3 linked regions of the Sus scrofa genome follow. The protein of the gene in region 1 interacts with the protein of each later gene in a biochemical or structural test. Links are inferred from orthologs where the notes say so. Each region holds a gene or a part of one and is shown on either strand. Other genes may lie near its edges.

Region 1 (3,656 bases):
TTTCACAGTCACCCACTTTCTTTCCACTTCCACCCCTACCTTACCCCCTGCCAATCACTAATACGTTCTCCATTTTTATAACTTTGTCATTTCAAGAATATTATAAATGGAGTCATATAATATGTAAACTTTTGAAATTTACTTTTTTTTTTTTCCACATTCAGTGTAATTCTCTGGAGATTTATCCAGGTTGTTGTGTATCTCAGAAATTCATTGTACCAGTTTGCCTAACTATTTGCTCATTGAAGGACATCTGCATTGTTTCCAGTTTTACTATAAACATTCATTACAGGTTTTTGTGTAAGCACAAGTCTTTTTTTATCTGGGATAAATGCCCAGGAGTGCAGTTGCTGAGTCATGGTAGTTGCATATATAGCTTAAGAAACTGCCAAACTACTTTTCAGAGGGGCTGTATTCATATTATAGTCTCACCAGCAGTATGTGAGTAACCCATTTTCTCTGCATCCTCTCCAGCATTTGGTGGTGTCACTTTTTTATTTTAAGCATTATGAGGGGTTTGTAGTGATAGCTCATTGTGATTTTAATTTTTTCCTCCTTAATGACTGCTGATGTTGAATATCTTTTCATATGCTTATTTGTCATCTGTGTAGCTTTTTTTTTTTTTTTTTGGTCTTTTTTTAGGGCCACACCTGTAGCATATGGAAGTTTCCAGGCTGGAGGTCTAATTGGAGCTGTAGCTGCTGGCCTAACGCCACAGCCACAGCGACTCGGGGTTGGAGCCGTGTCTCTGACCTACACCACAGCTCACAGCAATGCCAGATCCTTAACCCACTGAGCAGGGCCAAGGGATTGAACCCTGTGGCCTCATGGATGCTAGTGAGATTTGTTTCCACTGAGCCACAATGGGAACTTCTCATCTGTGTAGCTTTTTTTTTTTTTTGGTCTATTTAGGGCCGCACCTTAAAAAAAATTTATACAAATTTGAGAACTCTAGACCTCCTTACAACATTGAATCCTCTAATCCATATGATAGATTTTAGCATTTATTTGGAGCTTTGATTTTGTTTCATCAGAGTTGTACAGCTTTCATTATATGAGTCCTACACATTTTGTTAGACTTTCATTCACCAAAGCATTTCATGGTTTTTCAGTGGTTCTAAATGGTATCCACATGTTTATTGTACAGTTGATTTTTTTGGAATCATTATCTTCCTGTAACATTGTTCACTTAGTTCTAAGAGATTTTAAATAGATTTCTTGGGATTTTCTACATAGATCATTGTATCATGTACACAGCCGTTTTATTTTTTCACTTGAGGTCTATATACCTTTCAATAGGTATGTTCTTAATGAATTATAAAAATATTTTTACAGGACATGTGTAGTCTTCCAGATTTCGTGACGTTTAAGAGTTTCCCTGGAATCCCGCTACAACATATCTTCATTGCAGCAGGAGATGACTTGCTAGATCTCATACAAGGCTTATTCTTATTTAATCCATGTACTCGAATTACAGCCACACAGGTATTTTAACATATCTTTTGATTTCTTAATGTGTTCTAATATTCTTAAAATACTGAAAAGATGGGGTTCTGGTTTTTTTAACTTAATTTTTTATTGAAGTATAGTTGATTTATCTGTTTTGTTTTAAGGAATAACAGATTTCATCTTCTCCCTAAGCTACAGACACTGTTCAAGACTGGTATTAAATTATATAATGTACATGCAGGTGCAGGAGAGTTTACTCTTGCTTAGGAACATATAAATACACTTCTATTTGATAATTTGCTTTCAACTTGAAAGTTTACTTAGGAAAAATATAAGGTTTTTGTATTTGTAAAGATACTGGTATATTTCAGTTAAATTCTTATGTGTTAACTTAAATCTCGTGCCAAAGCCTGTGCCAAAAGTATTTTGTTCAGTTTTTTCCCTATAAAATGCAGTCTAGATGTGCATGCTGGTCATTGTGGCAGTCCAAAAGTGATAATGGGAGTTCCCACCAGGGTGCAGCGGAAAAGACTCCGACTAGGAACCATGAGGTTGCAGGCTCGATCCCTGGCCTTGCTCAGTTAAGGATCTGGCGTTGCCATGAGCTGTGGTTTAGGTCACGGATGCAGCTCGGATCCTGCCTACAGCCTGTGGTGTAAGCTGGCAACTGTAGCTCCGATTTGACCTTTAGCCTGGGAACCTCCATATGCTGAGAGGTGAGGCCCTAAAAAGCAAAAAAGAAGAAAAAAAAAAGAAAGTGATAATGGAAAAGTTTTTTTTTTTTTCTTTGTTTTAAAAGCCACACACACAAAAGAAAAACAAGCACACACAAGTGGATGGAGTTAATAACACTTAAAATTGAGGCAGGGAAATGCAGTGCAAAAATGCAACACAGTACAATGATTTGGCTTCATAAAAGGAGAGACTGAAATGTCTCAGATCTTCATACCTGGCAGAACATGTTAATGCACCATATATCAGGGATACAAAGTGGATTTTTTTTCACTTAAATTTATTACAGACTCATTGTTTAACTCATTTATTTCTATTATTAGCCTTCTCTTCTTAGCAGCATGTGCTACATTGATGCATATATACTATGTATTTTACCATTGGAATTACCCTTCTAATTTCAAACAAGTAACTCATTTTTACTTTTTCACCCAGGCGTATATACATATTATCTCCAGCATAAGAAACTTGAGGCCAGATAAGATTATCTAGAAAGTTATTATCATAAACAATAAAACTCAAAATTTATAGAAAAATGCTAATTGTGATAACTTGTTTGGGTTGTATATTGATAGAATGAATTTATTTTAATGGGTTTTGGCTTGTGGATATTTAAAAGTTGAAATGAGATATTCTTTCTTTCTTAGATCTCTTTGTAGCTCAGAATTAGCTTAATTTACTTAGGAAACTGCTACGATTTGGAATTAATGCTTTTTGTAAGTGCAACTCTTTTTTTTTTTTTTTTTTTTCCCCCCCATTTCTTGGGCTGTTCCCTGTTGACATATGGAGGTTCCCAGGCTAGGGGTCGAATTGGAGCTGTAGCCGCCGGCCTACACCACAGCTCACCACAACGCTGGATCCTTAACCCACTGAGCAAGGCGAGGGATCAAACCCACAACCTCATGGTTCCTAGTCAGATTCGTTAACCACTGAGCCACGACGGGAACTCTGAAACTCTTCTAAAATAAGAAATCTCTAAATTATTCCTGCAGATAATACTATGTTGACTGGTGGAAGGAGGTATTAAAGTTTATATGACTTTTTTTGTTCCTTAGAGAATTATCCAAAAGGAAATGTCCTAAATTAATGTGGCTCTTGAACAGTACTACGATGCAAATAAAGTATGAACTTGACAATTTTGTCATCTAGAATAAAACTTTTTATTGGAATTTTGGACCTGAGTGGAAATATCATATTATAGAATATTGGACTGGTAGTAAATAGAAATAACCTTGGGCAAGTATTTCCAAGAAAATTACTGTCAATTTTAGTGGATTATTGGATTTTAATCCATTGTTTCCAACCTATTGCATCTTTTAAAAAGTTTTATTTCTAAGAATTTAGATGAGATGGTGAGTCCCCTATAGCACAGCGTGTTAAAGATCTGGTGGTGGTGTCACTGCAGAAGCCTGAGTCACTGCTGTGGCACAGGTTTGATCCCTGAAACATCCATATGCCATGGGAGCAGCCAAAAA
Region 2 (3,656 bases), on another chromosome or scaffold:
TTCTTTGTTGTGGGTTTTCCTGTGCCTTGGAGGATACTTAGCATCCTTGGCCTCAAGCTACTAGATGCCATAATACCCCCCATTGTGACAACCAAATGTCCCCCATGGGGCACAGTTGCCCAGGTTGAGAGCCTTTGCTCTCCATCATTGTAGACAGCTTCTTTTTTTTTTTTTTGTCTTTTTAGGGCTGCACCCATGGCATATGGAGGTTCCCAGGCTAGGGGATCAAATCAGAGCTGTAGCCATGGGCCTACACCACAGCTACAGCAACACCAGATCCAAGCCACATCTGCGAACTACACCACAGCTCACGGCAACACAGGATCCTTAACCCACTGAACAAGGCCAGGGATCGAACCCACGTTCTCATAGATAATAGGTTCGTTAATCACTGAGTCACAATGGGAACTCCTGTAAACAGCTTCTTAACTGACTCCTGCCTCTCCTGATTCAAGTCTTTCCACCCTGCCTCTGGAGTAATTATCCTCAAAATCAGCTGCTTTACCCTGGCTTAAAGCCTTTTACTGGTTACCTGTTCTCTACTGGCAGTGGTTTCAAACTGTCTCCTGTGTCCAAGTCACCTTGAAGAAAAAAGGCAACTCTAGAGACGGAAAGTGGATTAGTGATTTCTGGGGGCTGGGGAGGAGCAGGAAAGTTACTGGGAATGGGCCCAGGTGGTCTTTGAGGTGATGAAAATGTTCTCAAATTGGATTGTGGTAATGATTTAAAGCTCTATAAATTTACTAAAAATCATTGACTTGTGCACTTAGAGCAAATTTTGGAGTACCCTTGTGGCCCAGTGGGTTAAGGACCCAACATTGTCATTGCAGTGGCTCAGGTCACTGTTTTGGTGTGGGTTCGATCCCTGGACCAGGAACTTCCCATGCCACAGGTACGGTCAAAGAAAAGAGAATGAATTTTGTGGTCTGTTAGGTTATACCCCGATAAAAGTGTTAAAAGCCCCCTGGAGGGCTTGTTAAAACAAAGTGCTGGGCCCCACACCAGAGTTTCTGATTCTTTGGGTCTAGGGAGACCCCAAGAATTTGTATTTCTATCTCAGGTGTTATTTCTGCACCGATTCTAGAATCACAGTTTTGACGCCGCCCCCACCGTGGTAAAGTCCCAACTTCTAAGAGGTCTGAGCTCCCCATAGGTGTCAATGCTCCTGGATCAGTTGCAGGCCCTGTTTACACAGGGTGTCAGTCTGGGCTCCCCACCTTGAGCTGAAGGTTTAGAATTTTGGTTTTTATAAGAGTGACTTCTTTTCTCTCAAGTCTCCAGAGGACTTGTGACTTCATCTCTGTTCCCCACAGTCAGGGGAGTTTCTCCAGTCCTGTTTTCACTGGTCCCGCTTTCCTGAGAGGAAGGGGGAGAAGGAGGTGGTGGGAAACGGTGGGGGCCTGGCCCGGCACCACTGTCCAGACTGCCTACAGTTGCACATGACCTTTTGTATCACTTAGATCATTTTTTTTTTTTTGGGGGGGTCTTTTTGCCTTTTCTTAGGCCGCTCCTGTGGCATATGGAGGTTCCCAGGCTAGGGGTCTAATCCGAGCTGTAGCCGCCGGCCTACGCCAGAGCCACAGCAACGTGGGATCCAAGCCACGTCTGCAACCTACACCACAGCTCACAGCAACTCCAGATCCTCAACCCACTGAGCAAGGCCAGGGATCGAACCTGCAACCTCACGGTTCCTAGTCGGATTCGTTAACCACTGCACCACAATGGGACTCCCTGTATCACTTAGATCATTGAGACACCAGAACCTTTCCAAATAACACCAGGATACTTTTTATTATTTATTTTTTATTGTGGTATACAAATACCAACTAATAAAGAATTTACCATTTTAACCATTTTTCTTCTTTTTGGCCACATCTGTGGCATGCAGAAGTTCTTGGACCTGAGCTACTGCAGTTATAACACTGGATCTTTAACTCCTTGAGCCACAAGAACTTCCCATTTTGACCATTTTTAAGTGTACAGTTCAGTGGCATTAAGTACATTCACATTGTTGTGCAAACACCACCACTATCCATTTCCAGAACTTTTTCAACATCCCAAACTGAAACTTTATGCTCATTAAACAATTCCCCACCCCCCACCCCCACTTAAGCCTCAGACCACTCTGGTATTTTAAATTGAGAAAATGTTTAAAAATCGCTTACCTATGTTTTTAAACTCACTTTGAAAATGTCATCTGATTTCATTCATGAAGAAGCATGCTTTGGGTTAAAAATGATTTTTAGTGCAAGAAAGTACCTAAAAATTCCCTTTTTAATTTTTTTTTATTATTTCTAGGTGACATAGAGGGTCAACATACAGAAACTCTGCTGGCGGGATCCCTCGCCAAAGCTCTCTGCTGTATCCTTGCTGTTTTAGCCTAGTCAGAAGGGGTTTTTTGGTAATAGAGCCATCTTAACTTGAGATATTTCTTAGAACCTTGGGTGCCCATGTTTAAGGGAAGGCATATGTATTCTAAAGTGGTAGATAATAAAAAAATAGTTTATCTTGCCTTTCAAATGCTTTTAGGACAAACTGTAAGAACCAGAAAACTCTAGTTTCTCCAGTGTATCTTCCTTACAATGAATTATTCTTCAGGATGCTTTGTTTCTTATTAGACAAGTTAAAAATTTTTTTTCATCTCTCTTGTGTTGGAAGCAATGTTTGATTTTAAAAGCCGTTTACTGGCCCTGGGGCTTGTTAAATGAGTAGCTGCTTTTCCACAGGTGTATGGGTTATTTTGCCCTCCTTTATAAGCACTTTGATTAACTATGTTTGTATGATATTTTCTCAGTCTTACGTAATTTAATTTGTACAGTATTAATTTCTCTGTTCCAGACTGTGATTTGGGGGTATCTGATCTTCTGTGTATGGTTTTCAAATTCATTTTCATTTGATTGGCTCATTGATTTACTTCTGGTCCCCATATTCAAATCTAGGACATAGTGGATAATCCTAGAACCATCATTGGTAATTTTAATTTTCTGGGACAAAGGTCATCTCGGTCAGGTTACAAAGCCCACTTGATTGCAGAGTTAGTAATTGGAGGCGCCCAACCACTCTTCTTTTGCATGTTTATCATGGCATTGGAGCTTTTCCTTTTTTCAGCTTGGTGGATGCTGGATTTATTTAACTAAAATTTAAGTTATTTTTTTCTATTTACTATTAATATTTATGAAATAATATTTTAAAACTCCTTAATGCTAAGAAAATAAGACATTCATAGAATGAACAAGGAGGTTAAAGGTAGGAGCCTCTGTTTTTCTATGGGACTATAATCTTTATTTTACTACTGCAACTTTGAGGGACTATTTATAATCTATTTTTATCTCTTTATAGATAATCAGGAAATGAAATCAAGGATATTGGTAAGATAAAAAGAAAATACTATGTTCATATACCAACTGTAGCCAGTGAGAAAACAATGGGAAATTAGACCCATTTATAATAGAAGCAATAAATGTTAAGTATCCAGAATCATTTAATAAATAATGTGTAAAATTGATGGGGGTGAAAAACCAAATTTCTGAGAAACATAAAAGCATTGAATATATGGATAGTAATATATATGTATATATTTTTTATTTTTATTTATTTATTTATTTATTTTGGTCTTTTGTCCTTTTTTTTTTTTAGGGCCGCATCTGCGGCATATG
Region 3 (3,656 bases), on another chromosome or scaffold:
TATATTTTTGATTTTTTTTCCCTGTAGGCAGGTTTTCTTACACTTGCCAGTATTGAAATAGATCTGCCACATTGCTGCCATTTACACAAGCTTCAGCTTTTCCTGTGTTTTTGTTTGTTTTTTGCTATCGGTTTGGCCTTTAAGCACCCAGAATTGCTTAGCATCATCAGTGAACTTGACAGTTTCTCAGTATATATCTTTGTAATTTATAAATCTATGAAATAAGATTGTTCCTAGAACTAATGTTTCTACTTTATCATCTAGAGATTTGTTCATTTATCCTTATTTTTCATCTTCTGTCTTCATCTATAACAGAACAATTCCTTTTTTTCTGAAGCCTCTCTAGACCCTTGTCAGAAATCTTTTAGATATGACTTCATTCAGTTTACAGAATTAAATTCCTTTTCCCATAATTTTATATTAACTTTAAACATTAATCAAAATCCTGTGTTGGTAATGTTAAGCTATTTGGAAAATTATTTTAGAAGCATGTAAGCCTGAGAGACTTATATACATTCCTTGTTCTTTTTCCTCTTGTAGTACTGCTTTGGCAGTAAGAGCTCTAAGGAGGAAGTTCAGCTTTTGGCAGTGTTTTAAAATAGTTAGATTTTGATCACTTTTACATTGATGTTATCAAAAACCTGTTTTCTCTGACCTAAACTTTTAACTTCTCAATTCCTGTTTCCTTTTCCCTCTCTTATCTGCCCAATATCTCATCTCAGGGCTTTTATATTTTCTAAAGTTTCCAGGGTTACAGTTAATTCATTCTGATGTTTTAATGAGAAAATGCTTTCACTTCATCCATGGCCAGAATTGGTCATTTCTGAGTCTTCTTTTGATAATGATAATAGATAACACTAAGTTCCAGGCCCTCACAAATATTCACTTAATACCCACAGTAATACAGTGAGATAGATACTATTTTACTCTTTTTTGTACTTGAGAAAATGGAAGCAGAAAAAGATGAAGTAACTTGGCCAAAATCACATGGCCAATAAATGTTAGAGTTAGGACTTGAACCAAGGAGTCAATAATTAAAACATTATAATTATGTAAAGTTATCCTTATATTAAAATATTATATAAATAAATAAATATATGTTTGTTTGTTTTTCACCACACCCATAGCATGTGGAAGTTCCTGGGCCAGGGATAGAACCTGTGCTTCAGTTGCAGCCTGAGCCACAGCTACAGTAACACCAGATCCTTAACCCACTGCACCACATGGGAACTTTGATAATTCTTTTATATATTTTAAATGGCATTATGTTTGTATTATGTTTTTCTTAAATTTCATCCATAATATACACAAAAGATAATAGAAGGTGTGTGGTGGGAGAAGTTTCATTTCTTACTAGATTCCTAGATAAAGAGATCAAAGTACACTTAATTTGCCTCAGGAAAATAAAACTGCCATTTATTCAGTCATTCATCAAATATTTATTCAGTACCTAACAAGCGATAGGGACTATTCTGGGTGCGTGGGATATATTACTGAATAAAAAAGGTAAATATCTATTGTGGTGGACCTACATCTGTGGAGAGTAGGTGACAAAGATAATAGACATAAATTACTATGTTAGAAAATAAATGCTATAGGGAAAAATAGAGCATTGAGAATATAGGGGTAGGGGTGAATTAAAAGAAAGTGAAATTTGAGTAAGGTCATGAGAGATTGTAAGAGAGTATGGATACCTAGATGGAAAATATCCCAGGAAAAGGAAACGGGCAGTGCAAAGCCCTGAGGTCAGAATGCATATGGTGTGTACAAGGAATACTGTGGAGGCCACTGTGACTAGGGCAGGATGAGCAAGTGATAAGAGAGAAGTAGGTGGGCAGGAGGAGTTCCAGATAATGCAGGACTCTGAAAAAGATGAAGAGCCATGTTTTGATTTCCTATTATGCCACCTACAAACTTGGCCCTTCATAGACGTTATTTCATTTGTTCTGATTGAGAGCCCTAGAAGCTTTTATCATCCCATTTTATAGAAAGAGGTATCGAGGTTTAGAGACTAAATAACTTGCCTAGAGAGTTACATCTTGCATGTGGAAGAACTAGGATTCAGATCCAAGCTATATACCTCTTAAAATCCATGTACAGTTGCCCCTTGAACAATGCAGGGCTTAATCTGAGTATAACTTATTTCCATGGTTTCCTGCATCTCCATGGTTCAGACAACCACAGAACGTGTACTACTAGTATTTATATTAGGAAAAAAAAAAAAACATGTATAAGTGGAGCCTGCAAAGTTCAAATCCACATTGTACAAGGGTCAACTGTACTTAACCATTATGCTACTTAAGTTCTAGTTTGTAAGAAACATTTTGGCTATCATATGGACAGTAAGTAGCTCAAAAAATGGAATTACTGAAGTCTTTGTTATTTTGTATCATCCTATATTTAAATATAACATATTAAAATACTGTGTTAGTTATAAAGGAGTGCTTTTTTATAGTTAAGGTTTTGACTTTCTGGTTTTTTCCTTCCAGGTGGCATAGATATAGACTCATTTCAGGAGCGTGAGGAAGGCCGTGCAGGGCCAGATGACAATGAGGAAGTCATGCGAGCACTGCTCATTCATGAGAAGAAGACCCCCTCTGCCGTAGCAGGCTCAGTGGGGGCGGCTGCTCCTGTGACCACTGCCAATGGTAGTGACTCTGAGAGTGAGACCAGTGAGTCAGATGACGACTCCCCACCCCGACCGGCAGCTGTGGCTGCACATCATGGGGAAGAGGATGAGGAGGATGATGAATTTGAGGAAGTAGCAGATGACCCCATTGTCATGGTGGCTGGCCGTCCGTTCTCCTACAGCGAAGTGAGCCAGAAGCCAGAGCTGGTGGCCCAGATGACACCAGAGGAGAAGGAAGCATACATAGCAATGGGACAGCGCATGTTTGAGGACCTCTTTGAGTGAGCTTTCCCTCCTTTTCCTCCTTTCTCTAATGCTCATTTCAAAAAAAAATTCCCTACCTTTGAAGAAAACTATTTAAGTGGCTTTCTGTCCCTCTTGATGTAAAGCAGCTTTTAATCTTGCACAAAGAATGATGGGAAAGTTTGATTTTTATGCCAGAAACTTCCCCACAAGGTAGGTTGGCTATAAGCATTCCCTTCCCTATTACTACAGTGTTAATATTTTGCTGTATTTCCTTATCTAATCTTTTTCCTTTCCTTCTGAAATAAATGTGTGGAGTCTATAAAGTAAATTCTTCCTATCTGCTTGTAGAAGCCCACTATGACATGTTACAGCAATTCACTGATCACCTCCTTTTTATCTATTCTGACCAAGCATTCCAAACAGCTCCTGATATTGCTACCAATCAAGCAACTTGTCAACAGGCAAATCATTGATGAAGGAAAAAAAAATCTTAAAACTTCATGTTGCCTCACGATCGAGGATGGAGTCAATGCTTAAGGGGAGGTGGGAGTGTATGTGGAAGAGGGACGGCTCTGTCTAAATCTCTTGATGTTATCTAAACAAAAATTTGTGTCCTTAGAAGTGACTTTACTGAGAGATTCTATTAGTTTGCTAAATGCCTTTTGGTTTGTATAAGGGATAATAGAAAACAGAAAGTGTGTTTGGTAAGCCCTTAGGAAGAAATTAGAGAAAAAACATGCACTTAGGATAAAGAGTCCATGTAAAGGGTTGAAGAGTGAGG

The links.
Region 2: the proteins of CDK7 (region 1) and GTF2H3 form a complex in vitro, tested with the Homo sapiens proteins (2 studies listed by BioGRID). The link is inferred for Sus scrofa from reciprocal best matches to the Homo sapiens genes CDK7 and GTF2H3.
Region 3: of the proteins of CDK7 (region 1) and GTF2E1, one has a biochemical effect on the other in vitro, tested with the Homo sapiens proteins (3 studies listed by BioGRID, with this or other methods). The link is inferred for Sus scrofa from reciprocal best matches to the Homo sapiens genes CDK7 and GTF2E1.

The regions. Positions count from the first base shown.
Region 1 is NC_010458.4:47,430,665-47,434,320, forward strand, and holds part of CDK7 (cyclin-dependent kinase 7), read left to right. Parts: intron 1-1,335; coding exon 1,336-1,485; intron 1,486-3,656. UniProt on the Homo sapiens protein: Serine/threonine kinase involved in cell cycle control and in RNA polymerase II-mediated RNA transcription. Cyclin-dependent kinases (CDKs) are activated by the binding to a cyclin and mediate the progression through the cell cycle.
Region 2 is NC_010456.5:29,345,452-29,349,107, reverse strand, and holds part of GTF2H3 (general transcription factor IIH subunit 3), read left to right. Parts: intron 1-2,298; coding exon 2,299-2,361; intron 2,362-3,216; coding exon 3,217-3,246; intron 3,247-3,339; coding exon 3,340-3,368; intron 3,369-3,656. UniProt on the Homo sapiens protein: Component of the general transcription and DNA repair factor IIH (TFIIH) core complex, which is involved in general and transcription-coupled nucleotide excision repair (NER) of damaged DNA and, when complexed to CAK, in RNA transcription by RNA polymerase II.
Region 3 is NC_010455.5:139,571,413-139,575,068, reverse strand, and holds part of GTF2E1 (general transcription factor IIE subunit 1), read left to right. Parts: intron 1-2,489; coding exon 2,490-2,914; 3' UTR 2,915-3,656.